Linked DNA regions of Caenorhabditis elegans. The protein of the gene in region 1 interacts with the protein of each later gene in a pairwise test. Each region holds a gene or a part of one and is shown on either strand. Other genes may lie near its edges. The genes, in order: M162.5 and vdac-1.

Region 1 (9,086 bases):
TGGAGGGAAAAAGGTATGCACTTCTAATAGTGAGTTTTCTAAAAAGGGTTTTATTTTCAGATTCTGCGGTCAAGAAGCTTGCTGAATAGTGAACATGGAATTTTATGTTGAAATTGTTTAATAAATCTGTATTATATTTTCTATGAACTAATATTGTTTCTCAATTTGGTTATTTTTTATGTTTATGCTTAAGCTCAGGCTTAGGCCTAAGCTGAGGCTTAGACTTAGAAAAACAAATGAATTGGAAGAAACTGTATAGTGCGGAGCGGATTCCGAAAAGTGTCGGCCGCGGCATTGAATGAATAAGCATTTTCGCAAAAATCACTTCTCCAGAACGATAGAAACATTACCATTTTAGGCAAGTGTCAGAGGGAAGGAAGACGGGTGTTATGTTTTCTGAGAAATAAAACAATAAACATAAAAATTCAAAATGAAACATTTCATATCTGGGAAAAATTTACGGCGCGTTGCGTGTCGCGTCGCGGTTCGGTTTTAGTTGTAAAACTAAATTTATTTGTCCGTGTGGAGTACACAAATCTCCCACGTGGAGCAATTTTACGGGCCTCTAAAGTAGTGGAAAAATGCACTGATAGCAATTTCAAATCAAATTTTTTCCAGTTCGAAGTGCTCGTCCACCGCTAAATTTTTTTATAGGGACCTTCCTGAAAGCTGAAATTGAAAAAGTAATAAACTAAATTTCAGAAAAATTAGATTTTTTTCAGATTTTCAATAAATTTAAAAAAAAACGTTTTTCTATTGGTTTTCCAGTTGAAAAACAATGTAAAAAGGTTTCTTTTTCAAATTTTTTCTTGTTAATACAATAGAGTTTATTGTGTGCCAAAATAATAGAAATTAGAATCATGATACATCTATCATTAAAAATAAATGTTATACATACTAGGGCTCCCATGCGATCGCCACAACGGCGCCTCCGCCGACCTCAGCGGTCACCGCGCAGGCCTCACGGCGTCACCCACGCAAACCCCGAACACGTCGGCCGCTTCCAAACAACAGCTTCTTTGCACTACGTTGCGCACACACCAAGGTACTCATTTCACGCTAAGCTGCGGAACCCTGAACGTGTCGGCCGCTATAAATAACTACCTTTTGCACTTCGTTGCACACACACAACGCCGGCGGCGTGAGATCAGCATTTTGGGCCTCACTCAGCTGGGTTGTAATATTTGGCGTATTTTGATTGTTTGTCTCATGTTAGTTTGTCGATTTAAAGCCGATAGGTAACTAAATCCAAACTTCTAGACTTAAACCAAGTACATCAAAAACTATACCTCACCTGTTAAACCTGTTTTTTTTACCGCCACCTACTCAATAATATCAAGAACTACCGACGATTCTTTTTTTTTCTAGTTATACTCTATCACAGCTTTTAAAAGAAATTGTTCGGTCATTGAATGATTATATCATATCACATCATTTTCTGTTGGATAGAATCACGTATCGAGGTCACTTTGGTCGAATTAGCGGAGAATTTTGCTTTCGATTGGAACTTTTACAATTCTAACTGTATTTTTATTTATTATACTTTTTTTTTGTTTGCATTAATCAATAAAGTGTATTTACTGTAGTGTAATGTACTACATATGACGATACATACATTTTAAATAAATTTAAACAACTGCGTATTAAATAAAAAAGTGAGCAAGTAGTGTTGTCTATTTACGTTTTACTTTGTATCTATGTAACAAAAACAGCTATCAAAAAACTTTTCATACTGTAAGAACATTTTATTAAAAGTGGTGTTTTTTATTGCTTTACTAGACTTAAAATTGTTTGAAAACACCGAATTTCATAATGTAACTTTTTGAAAACTTCTCAAAAAGTGACCTAAAAATAGTTAAAACTTGAAATTTGACCGACTTGTCGTTTAACTATGGGCATACAAGCTAATTATCTTGCGGTTCCAACTATTTGGGTACATTTAAGGTCGATGGACAACTAGAATTGGTAAAATTTGATAAATTCTGGTGATCGGCTAAACATGTACCTAAAACAAATGGAAAATGCAAGATAATTAAAATGTATACTCAAAATTTAACGGTGATTTCAAAAAAAGATAGTTTTCAGCCGCTTGACAAGTCGCTCAAATTTCAAGTTTTAACTATTTTTAGGTCATTTTTTGAGCCGCCATAAAAACTTTTTGAAAAGTTTTCAAGAAGTTTCACCATAAAATTTGGTTGTTTCAGGCAATTTCAAATCTAACAAAGCCTTTAACGGAGTAGGAAAAATAAAAAATAAAAAGAGCAAAAAGTGTTGTTAATTTACACCCAAAAATTCTATTGAGAGGAAATTTTGTTTTAATAGATAATTTTGACATCATCTTCTCCACTAAAACTTGATAAAAGATCAATTGAAAACGAGAGATTTTTAAAGATTACGAATCGAACTTCACTTCCATCATCATGTTTTGTTATTTTGATGTCTATTCTTTTCATTCGCTGAACAATAATTGGCTTCCCTCCAACCCTTCCAACAAACTGGACAGTCCTCCTCTTCACAGTGTTCGAAACTTATTTTTCTCACCATTTATACTGTTTTTCTGTTCGGTTTATATACATAATATGTTCAGGTAATACAATGAAAGTGGCGCCGGAGAAGAAGCCACCGATTCCGGTGGTTATTACTGCAGAGCAGATGAGCTCTGAGGCCAAGGAGAATGGATTAGGTAAGACTAGAATCAGGTAAGAAGGTGAGCTAGTGAAAAATTCCAAAACTTTGATTTTCCGACCTATAAAATGGTTGAAAATCCATGTTCATTATTGAAAACATCTTTTAAAAAAACCCACTTTGAATATCTTATAAGCACTAAATTTTCAGTTAGAACACCCAAATATTATATGAAAATTTGAATTTCTCGCCAAAACTTATTTCTCAAAACCTTGAATTTCCCGTCGAAATAATTGTCTCAAAAAATTTAAATTTCCCGCCAAAACTTGTTTCTCAAACAAAATTTGAAGTTCCCGGCAAAATAATTTATTCTCAGAAAATTTTAATTTCCCGCCAAAATAATTTTTCAAAAAAAATTCTCAGAAAATTTGAATTTACCGCCAAAATAATTTATTCTCAGAAAATTTGAATTTCCCGCCAAAATAATTTATTCTCAGAAAATTTGAATTTCCCGCCAAAATAATTTTTTCTCAGAAAATTTAAGTTTCCCGCCCAAAAATGTTTCTTAAGTTAGAAAATTTGAATTTCCCGCCGAAATATTGTTCTCAGAAAATTTTTATTCCACGTCAAAATAATTTTTCAAAAAAAAAATTTCTCAAAAAATTTGAATTTTCCGCCAAAATGTTTTTTTCTCAGAACATTTCAATTTCCCGCCAAAATATTTTTTTCTCAAAAAATTTAAATTTCCCGCCAAAAAAATTTCTAAAAAATTGTCAATTTTCCACCAAAAATGTTTTCTCAAAAAATTTGAATTTTCCGCCAAAATATTGTTCTCAGAAAATTTAAATTTCCCGCCACAAAGCTATAACTTCCAGAACCCTCCTCCTCCAAAATCCGTTACATCGTGCTCATTCTCAGCATGACCTGTCTCTCATTCATGATGTCCAATGTGATCTGCTTCAACTTCACCGTCCTCTGTATGCCAGGCACTGGCGAGTCGTCGGAGCTCACCGGAAACAAGACCCAATACATTGGATACAATAGGCAGGAGAAGACGTGGTTGTTCAGTACAGTGGCTGTAGGTGCCATGTTCGGATTGTTTCCGGTGATCATTGGAATTAGTACATATGGATTGAGAAAGGTGTTTTTTGCCGCGGGCATGTTAACCTCGCTAACTACTTTTTTGATTCCTATTGTGGCACCGATGGATTTCAATTTGTTCCTGTTGATGAGATTTCTGCAGGTACGATTTATTTACAGAGAATGACTACCAGGGCACGTGGAGTCAGAAATTCCCATTTCGCTTTGATCTTCGAAAAATGCGGGAGATCTGATTTCCCAGAGCGTGCTGACGACGTCACAAATTTTCTGGGAAAATACTCCCGCATTCTTTGTAGATCAAACTGTAATGAGACAGCCTGACACCACGTGCCAGGGGTGTGCGGATAAAAGCCGATTTAGCCAAATTCGCAGATCGACAAATTGCCGGAATTAAAATTCCCGGCAAATTGGTAGATTACCGGATTTGTAAATTTCCGGCAAATCGACAAACTGCCGGATTTGTAAATTTCCGGCAAATCGACAAATTGCCGGATTTGTAAATTTCCGGCAAATCGACAAATTGCCGGAATTAAAATTCCCGGCAAATCGACAAATTGCCGGAATTAAAATTCCCGGCAAATTGGTAGATTACCGGATTTGTAAATTTCCGGCAAATCGAAAAATTACCGAATTTGTAAATTTCCGGCAAATCGACAAATTGCCGGAATTAAAATTCCCGGCAAATTGGTAGATTACCGGATTTGTAAATTTCCGGCAAATCGACAAATTGCCGGAATTAAAATTCCCGGCAAATTGGTAGATTACCGGATTTGTAAATTTCCGGCAAATCGACAAATTGCCGGATTTGTAAATTTCCGGCAAATCGACAAATTGCCGGATTTGTAAATTTCCGGCAAATCGACAAATTGCCGGAATTAAAACTCCCGGCAAATCGACAAATTGCCGGAATTAAAATTCCCGGCAAATTGGTAGATTACCGGATTTGTAAATTTCCGGCAAATCGAAAAATTACCGAATTTGTAAATTTCCGGCAAATCGACAAATTGCCGGAATTAAAATTCCCGGCAAATTGGTAGATTACCGGATTTGTAAATTTCCGGCAAATCGACAAATTGCCGGAATTAAAATTCCCGGCAAATTGGTAGATTACCGGATTTGTAAATTTCCGGCAAATCGACAAATTGCCGGATTTGTAAATTTCCGGCAAATCGACAAATTGCCGGATTTGTAAATTTCCGGCAAATCGACAAATTGCCGGAATTAAAATTCCCGGCAAATCGACAAATTGCCGGAATTAAAATTCCCGGCAAATTGGTAGATTACCGGATTTGTAAATTTCCGGCAAATCGAAAAATTACCGAATTTGTAAATTTCCGGCAAATCGACAAATTGCCGGAATTAAAATTCCCGGCAAATTGGTAGATTACCGGATTTGTAAATTTCCGGCAAATCGACAAATTGCCGGAATTAAAATTCCCGGCAAATTGGTAGATTACCGGATTTGTAAATTTCCGGCAAATCGACAAATTGCCGGATTTGTAAATTTCCGGCAAATCGACAAATTGCCGGATTTGTAAATTTCCGGCAAATCGACGAATTGCCGGAATTAAAATTCCCGGCAAATTGGTAGATTACCGGATTTGTAAATTTCCGGCAAATCGACAAATTGCCGGATTTGTAAATTTCCGGCAAATCGACAAATTGCCGGATTTGTAAATTTCCGGCAAATCGACAAATTGCCGGAATTAAAATTCCCGGCAAATTGGTAGATTACCGGATTTGTAAATTTCCGGCAAATCGACAAATTGCCGGATTTGTAAATTTCCGGCAAATCGACAAATTGCCGGATTTGTAAATTTCCGGCAAATCGACGAATTGCCGGAATCGTTTTGTTTGATTCGGCTAACTCGAGCAATATTAGTCGAAATAGCCGTTAGCCGTATTTATAGCAATTCGGAGCAAAGGCGGTCAATCGGTAGTAGTCGATTTTGGGCGATGTTATCCAAAAAGTTCATCAATGAATTTGCTCAATAACAATTTAGAGGGATTTGTAATTATACGGAAACACCTAAAACTGTGCCTTTTTGAATTTTAAAAAAATTTTAAAAAATTTAAAAAAAATACAAAATTTTCCCGTTATCTTTAGATATTTTCAAAGAATTTGCTTACTTTTCAAAATAGATGTAGGAAAAGTCATAGAATGCGTACATTTTTTCCGGCAATTTATCAATTTATCAGGAATTTCAATTCCTTTTTTTCTCAATTCCGGCAATTTGTCGATTTGCCTGAAATTTACAAATCCGGTTTTTGCCAATTTGCCGGAAATTTACAAATCCGGTAATTTGTCGATTTACCGGAAATTTACAAATCCGGTAATCTACCAATTTGCCGGGAATTTTAATTCCGGCAATTTGTCGATTTGCCGGAAATTTACAAATTCGGCAATTTGTCGATTTGCCGGAAATTTACAAATCCGGTAATCTACCAATTTGCCGGGAATTTTAATTCCGGCAATTTGTCGATTTGCAGGAAATTTACAAATCCGGTAATCTACCAATTTGCCGGGAATTTTAATTCCGGCAATTCGTCGATTTGCCTGAAATTTACAAATCCGGTAATCTACCAATTTGCCGGGAATTTTAATTCAGGCAATTTGTTGATTTGCCGGAAATTTACAAATCCGGTAATCTACCAATTTGCCGGGAATTTTACTTCCGGCAATTTGTCGATTTGCCGGAAATTTACAAATTCGGCAATTTGTCGATTTGCCGGAAATTTACAAATCCGGCAATTTGCCGATTTGCCGATTTGCCGAATTGCCGGGAATTTTTTTGCCAAACTGCCTATTTGCCGTTTGCCGGAAAATTGTTTCCCATCGACTCCCTGCTGTATACTGCTACCTTTCAGGGAATGTCCTACGCCGGCTGTATGCCAGCTGTTGGGGCCATCACTTCTTCCTGGGCTTCTCTAACCCAACAGGGATTATTTATTGCTGCACTGACCACATTCGGTCAGCTCTCCTCGATCTTCTCAATGCCCATTGCTGGGGAGCTCTGTGTTTCTCCGTTTGGCTGGAAGTCTGTCTACTTTCTGCATGCCGCAATTTCAATGGTCATTTTTTTGGCATGGTTCGCAGTATTTACAGATTCACCGAGTAAGTTGTTCAACTTTTTATAAAGTCTACACAGTCTACATATGATCTAACTCCAGGCACCAACAAGCTCGTAAAATCAACCGAGCTCCTTGAAATCCAAAAAGGAAAATCCGACGCAGCTGCGAATGGCAAGCAAGAGGCGACACCCTACCTGGAAATCCTCACAACTCCATCTGTCTGGGGTATATGGATTGGTGCCCTGGGAGATCTTATAGCCGTCCAACTGATTCACATCTACTCACCTGTCTACTTACATGATATTGGAGGTTATTCAGTGGAGAAGACCGGCTTTGCAGCCGCCGTACCGGTGTTGTTTCAGTTTTTTATGAAGCTTTTTGCAGGTGGGTATTCAGTCTATTTTGGACCTACTAGCCCAAACTTTAGGCCCTAAGCCTAAGTGTCAAAATTTGAAAGCCTAGGCCGAAAATTCCAAGCCATGCTCCTTGAGCCTCTGCCAGCAGCATAGGGGCCTGGTATGTTGCGATCGGTAACGTGCATCATTGGTTTTAAAACAAAACTTGAGAGCCTAAGCCTAAAATTGTGAATCTTAGGCTTGGCATGACTTGGGCTTAATTGTAGTCTCAGGTGGGGCTTGGCCTAGGGTAGAGATACTTTAAGCCCTTGGCCCTGAAACTGAAAACCGGGCTTTCTGTTCGAATCGGTAATTTCCATCCCTTCAGCCAAAGTCTCTACAACCTCAGTTCCTAAACCAAAACCTTAGCAGGGGTACTTTAAGCTCTAGGCCCTAAGACTAAAAATCGGGACTAAAAATCGGGACCCACAAGCGCCAGGTCTATTTCAGCCCAAGCATTTTAGACCTCGGGTCACAAAACAACACATCAAAGCTTTAGGCCAGATTGCTAAGTCCACGGGAAGTTACTTGAAACTCTAAGTCGCCGGGCCGGCAACCTCCACAATTTCAGGCCACTCCAGTGACCGAATCTCTGGAATATCTGAGACAACAAAGCTCCGGATCTACAATACTATTGCTCTGGGCGCCAGTGCCGTATTTCTAGCTGCTCTGGGTTTTGTAAAAGAAGGCCAGGGGCTGACCGGCTTGACACTCATGACTGTAGCCACCGCAATGTTTGGATTCAACGGTGGAGGTTTTATAAAGGTAATCTACAGAGTTTTGAATGAAAAATTTAAATTTTAAAAGCTTTAAAATTCCAGTGCGCCGCCCTTGTCTCCCGACAGCACAATCATTTTGTCATGGCAAACGTCCAGTTCCTGCTGTGCCTCTCGATGCTTCTCTGTCCAATACTTGTATCATTTTTGCTTCGACACGGAACTATAACTGAATGGAGATTGGTTTTCTTTGTTCACGCCGGAATCCTTGCCGCTTGTAATCTTATATTTTGTCTGTTGGCCACTGCAAAACCGGCTCCCTGGACAGATCGGACGTTGAAGCCATCGGCGTCGAGAAACACACCATTGTATACAATAAAGTATTGATTATAATGTATTCGGAGCATTTTTTATAATCAAAATCAAGGTCAAAATCTTGAGAAGAATTTTCCAGTTTTCCGCAAAAATTGACTGAAAATTTGAATTTCCCGCAAAAAATTGACTGAAAATTTGAATTTCCCGCCAAAAATTGACTGAAAATTTGAACATCCCGCAAAAAAAATTGACTGAAAATTTGAATTTCCCGCAAAAAAATTGACTGAAAATTTGAACTTCCCGCCAAAAAATAGACTGAAAATTTGAATTTCTCGCAAAAAATTGACTGAAAATTTGAATTTCCCGCAAAAACTTTATTTGTTTTTTTTTTAGTTTTTTTTTTTTTTTTTTCAAAAAATTTGAACTTCCACCCAAAATATTTTCGAAGGGTCTCACCACGAGAGGAGCCAGAGATTTTCAAAACATCAAGAAATTTGGTAGTTGTGGACCATTTTGGGTCTAAAAAAGCAAAGTTTTCATATTATTTTACATTCTCCAAATATTCGTTTCTCTGAAAATTTTCAAAAAAACTGTGAACGTACATTTCATTACATGAAAACCAAAAAATAAAATGGCAAAAAATGCATGTCACCCTGTGTTATAAGATGAATTGTGGTGAATACTTAAACCTTTACTATAATCAATTTTTGAAATTCATGACTAGCTTCTTGATCATAGGGAATAAACCATGTCTTTAAAGAAAATAGTTTGATCGTTTACCACTACATTCATGGCGAGTTGAAAACAAAGTTATCATATGCATATGATTGAAAATTTTATGAAGATCATTTTATTAATACAA
Region 2 (4,939 bases), on another chromosome or scaffold:
AATGTTTCATTTCAGAGAACTGCGTTTGAAACATCACCATATCCTGTCATCCTCACCCTCGAAAACCACGTCGGATTTGTACAACAGGCTGTTATGGCAGATTTATTCAAAGAAATTCTTGGAGATTCTTTATATATTCCACCAAAAGATTCACATCGCCATCCGTTATCATCTCCGAATAAGCTGAAAAGAAAATTCCTATTGCGCGGAAAGAAAATTATTCTTGAAGAAGACATTGAAGAACCAGATGAAGATGATTCACCAACTGATAAGGATAAGCACCATGTACATCCACATCCAGTTGCACCTGAATTATCAGCTCTCATTGGTTTGCCGTCAGTAAAATTGAGCCATAATATTTATCAAGACGTCAACAAACGTTAGTTTAAAACGTCAAAAATAGATTAATATGCAAACTTTCAGATCCATTTGATGGAAGTCCTTCGCTCTCGGAAAATAAAGTATATACAATGTTTGAAGCTGCAGTTCCCATCTTCACTTACACTGCAGAAAGGCTTGTGAAGAGTTATCCAAAAGGATTACGTCAAGATTCATCAAATATGCATCCAATGGTTTCTTGGCTTTGTGGAATTCAAAGTGTTGCTATGAACTTCCAAACCGCTGGTGAAGAGCTTGATTTGAATGCAGGATTATTCAGAATTAATGGAAATTGCGGTTACGTTCTGAAACCAAGTTGCCTTCTCGATGGAGTCGATCCAAGAAGTATGGCCAAACCAAAATTGAAGCTTGGTATTGGACTTTTCTCTGCTCAGTATCTTCCAAAGTCAGAACCCGGAAAAGAGATCATTGATCCATACGTCAGTGTTCAGATTTTCGGAATTCCACGAGATGAAACAAAAGCAAAAACAAGAATCATCAAGGACAATGGATTCAACCCAGAATGGAGGGATAATTTCTATTTCACACTCTCGTGCCCAGAGCTAGCAATTATTCGATTCTGTGTAAAAGTAGGTTTTGAAACATTATGGATCTAAATTTTATATTCCACTTTCGCAGGATTTTGACTCTACATCTTCGAACGACTTTGTTGGAGAATTCTCAATTCCTGTTATGAGTCTTCGTACAGGTTTCTCGCAAATTCAACTAAATACCGGATATCAACATACTCTGGACCCATCTGCATCTCTTTTTGTACGAATTGCAATGGAGGAAGAGTACTAATTCTCCTGCTTTTTAAACATATTTTTGAGACCAAAGCCGTTTTTATCACTACCTGTGTGTTATCTGATTACATGTAATATATGTTCTACTGCCCTTTCTTTCGCATAGTTTTGTAGTTAATTTTTAATGCATATTTTTAAAAAATTTATTGTTTTATTGGTTTATGGGTATTTACACTATATTATTTTTTAGAAACATAAACTTATTGGCGTAGTTGGTGTAGATAATCTGCGAGCCATTTCTGAAAGAGTCAAAAAAATCATGTTACTAAATGGTGTATTCGAAAACAAACAATTGGATTATCCGGTCTCTCAACTGCTACGCGAGCCAGTCCCTGGCTCAGTTTCGGCCATACTTCTACTGAGAGATAATCCTTGGCATGTTTCAGCATTGCTCTTTCGTCAATGTCTGAATATATTTTTATGGGAGAGTCAAAATTCTAACTTTATGGAATCTTACACTTGGGGAAAAAGAAAATTATATCGTGATAGGCGGCAATTGTCGTTTTTGAATAATATATTCCATCACTTGAACTCATTCTGAATTAAACGCTTGTGAAGTTTTAAAACTCTTCGGATAGATTTTTTGAAAAACCTCCAAAAGTGTGAAGGTTTCGTACCGAAACGAGACTACGGTAACGGTTATTTTCAACTGTGCGCAATGTTTTTCTTCCATTGTTTTTCAGTATTTTCGGATGTTTGTTGGTCTTTGCTCACCTCTTAGCGATCACATTGTGATATTTGGCCACTTCTTTCATCTCAATAAAAGCATTCGCTCGTTGACACAATAGTAACATGCATGGTCCGTCTATTAGCCTGTCTGATAAGTTCCAGATATCTTGGGATTCAAGATCAGCACTTTTCCACTCCATGACTTCTTCAGTTTTAAAATGCTTCACAGTTTTCTAAATAATCAGTTTCTTCTTCTTTAATTTTCATATATACAACTTACCTCTATAATCCCGAAGTTTTCTTTTGTTATGTGCTTCAGTACGGATTCATATTCATAGAAATAGTTCGGCAGAATAATTACAATTATTCTATCGACTAGGTTTGGATTTTCCAGTTGTGGCTTAGAGACTTCCGAGCGGTACATTTCGAATAGGTTAGATGCAAGTGACAGAAGTGAACTGAATTCGCTGAACCAGGTGATGCGGAAACTATTTGGATTTGTGCTCAATTTCCGGTACCATTTCCTGGTTTAACGCTAAATTTGAGATTTCTTGCTAATTTCATTTTGTTTCGTTAGTCAATATTTCTTTCATTGCATCAAATCTTTTCTTCTCAGTGCATCATTCAATTTTGAAAAACTGCCAAAATAATCCAGTACTTTTGGAAGCGGAGCGGTCGCGCTGCAGTAACCAGTCTCTGTGCCTCTCATTTTCGTCCTATGTCTCGAGACGGGCGGTCGCCGCGCCAATGTGCTTGCCTTTGAACTCTCAATTTGCTGTTGTGGCGTGATCTGTCCTTTCTCTATCGCATTCAATGTTTTCGATACCGTCGGAGTTTTATGTTACAAATGTTTGCTTCTGAATTTCCCGATAAGATAATTGTAAATCATTTAACTGAAACCCTGAATATATTTTTTGGCGATGTTGTGTTTTCTGGCGCATTGTTTATCGACTTCCTACTGCTGCCATTGAGTTGGTTTATCTCTTTCTTTCCGTTTTTCTCGTATGCACTGCTCAATGCAAACATTTTCAAAGCCTTCATTTTTCGAAAATTTCCTATTTTCCTTCTCTCGTGTAACTCTAGAATGCATGTTTCAAAAAATATTTTGTGTTTAGAAAATGGCCCCACCAACCTTCGCTGATCTTGGAAAGTCCGCCAAGGACCTCTTCAACAAAGGATACAGTAAGTTTCAATTTTATCTTTGTAGAGAGGAATAGTGTTAGGTCATTTATTCGCCTGATTAATTTTTTTCCAGACTTTGGATTCCTCAAGATCGACTCCACCACTAGAGCTGGAGACAACAAGGAGGTTGAGTTCAAATCAGCCGCTTCTCACAATATCGGATCCGGAAAGCTTGGAGGAAATCTCGATGTCAAGTACAAGATCCCACAATACGGTAAGCTCGTCTGAACATCTTATTGTCTACCCGCTAGATGGGGACAACCTCGTGACGCAGGTGATGCAATTGTATGTACTCTAAAACACCACGTGACGTCTAGCGACCGCTCAACAAAAATACAACATATTGTGTGAGAGATATCAATCATGTTGTTTCGTTTTCAGGAATCACTTTGACCGAGAAATGGAACACCGAGAACCAGCTCGGAACTGTTATCGAAGTTAATGAGCAATTCGGACGTGGACTCAAGGTCACTCTCGATTCTCTTTATGCCCCACACGCCGGAAAGAGAAGCGGAAAAGTGAAGCTCGACTGGGCTCTCCCAACTGCTAGAGTGAGTAGTCTTGTACATATTTTGGGTGATAAGATTGGCGAAGCTCGTCTCAAGCTTGACTGGAAGCATGATTGTTTCAGGGTTCGATTTTCTGAATGTAGAAATAGAGATTTCAAAAATCCATCTTTGTGAAATGAAACAAATTAGCCATTTACAGGTTACCGCTGATGTTGGAGTCACCTCTGCTCCAGTTATCAACGCTGCCGGAGTCTTCTCCCGTGACGGATGGCTCATCGGAGCTGCCGCCACCTTCGATTCTTCATCGAATAAGTTGGCAGCCACTTCTTTGGCTTTCGGACACTCCACTCCACAATACACCCTCCACTCTTTCGTTATTAACTCAACCGACTTCGGAGCTTCCCTTTACCACAAGGTTGCCTCCAACGTCGAGGTTGGAACTCAACTCGGATGGAAGGTAAACTTTTTAAAATCCTAGAACCAAAACTAAAGTGAATTTTCAGGTTGGTGGAAACGGAGCTGACTACGCTCTCGCCACCAAGTATGCTCCAAGCCGTGACCTTACTGTCCGCGCCAAGGTCAACAGCTCTTCCCAAGTTGCCGTTGCTGCCACACACTCCTTGTCTCCAGCTCTTAAGCTGACACTTTCCACTCAATTCAACCTTGCTGCCAATGATGCTCACAAGTTCGGACTTGGACTCGAATTCGATCCATCCAACTAGATCTTCCGATCACTTCCATTCTCCCATCAATAGCGTTCTTAAAATTCTTTTAGTCCTCAACCGTTGATTTTTCAATGTCGATTTATGTTCTCTAAACTTCGAAAAAAAAGAAATGTCATGCGCTATTTACTTTTCTGCTAAATTTTACAAACATAAATTATTGAGTTTCATCAGTGGCTTAAAATAGTAAAAATGATATGTACAAAACAATCCATGGGTTCTCGCGGAAAGAGGAGAGAATAACCGTTTTCTGTTTTGGAATGGAAAAGTGACATGGACAAAAAATGTAAATATTGATCATGGAACTACACGTTTTCATCGTTGGGCAGAGGTGTGTATGGTGGTTCAATGTTATTATTACGCCAGGAAAGATGCAAGTTGGTGGATGAAGGACGACGAGAGCCAATTCGTGATCCAATTCTTGAGTTTCCAGCTGTGTTCGCGTGTGTCAAGAAGAGCTCCTTAGAAGCTTCTGACATTGTGAATGATGGTCTTCTACTGGTGGCAGCTGACTTCAATAGTTCAATTTCTCCTTTCAGTTCAGTCTTATAATCGTGACGAGCGTCTGCTTGATCCAGCTTTTTCTTAAAATATACAATTGTCTCCAAGTTCGAGTTTTCTATCAAACCTGCAATAAATGCTGAACCATTGAAGCAGCAAACGCATCCCCTAG

What was found.
Region 2: the proteins of M162.5 (region 1) and vdac-1 interact in a two-hybrid assay, tested with the Caenorhabditis elegans proteins (one large-scale study listed by BioGRID).

The regions. Positions count from the first base shown.
Region 1 is NC_003283.11:19,758,464-19,767,549, forward strand, and holds M162.5 (Major facilitator superfamily (MFS) profile domain-containing protein), read left to right. Parts: upstream 1-2,587; 5' UTR 2,588-2,595; coding exon 2,596-2,683; intron 2,684-3,500; coding exon 3,501-3,868; intron 3,869-6,594; coding exon 6,595-6,841; intron 6,842-6,897; coding exon 6,898-7,182; intron 7,183-7,764; coding exon 7,765-7,958; intron 7,959-8,014; coding exon 8,015-8,296; 3' UTR 8,297-8,301; downstream 8,302-9,086. Other genes in the region: W04E12.9 (MFS domain-containing protein), read left to right, coding at 1-13, 61-89.
Region 2 is NC_003282.8:7,505,921-7,510,859, reverse strand, and holds vdac-1 (putative voltage-dependent anion-selective channel), read left to right. Parts: upstream 1-2,968; 5' UTR 2,969-2,971; coding exon 2,972-3,035; intron 3,036-3,108; coding exon 3,109-3,249; intron 3,250-3,416; coding exon 3,417-3,586; intron 3,587-3,743; coding exon 3,744-4,001; intron 4,002-4,047; coding exon 4,048-4,266; 3' UTR 4,267-4,439; downstream 4,440-4,939. Other genes in the region: plc-4 (Phosphoinositide phospholipase C), read left to right, coding at 16-379, 424-968, 1,018-1,182; R05G6.5 (Uroporphyrinogen-III synthase), read right to left, coding at 1,385-1,423, 1,475-1,590, 1,642-1,721, 1,899-2,086, 2,134-2,277; Putative sodium-dependent excitatory amino acid transporter glt-6, read right to left, coding at 4,572-4,850, 4,895-4,939. UniProt on the Caenorhabditis elegans protein: Forms a channel through the cell membrane that allows diffusion of small hydrophilic molecules. Plays a role in maintaining mitochondrial morphology.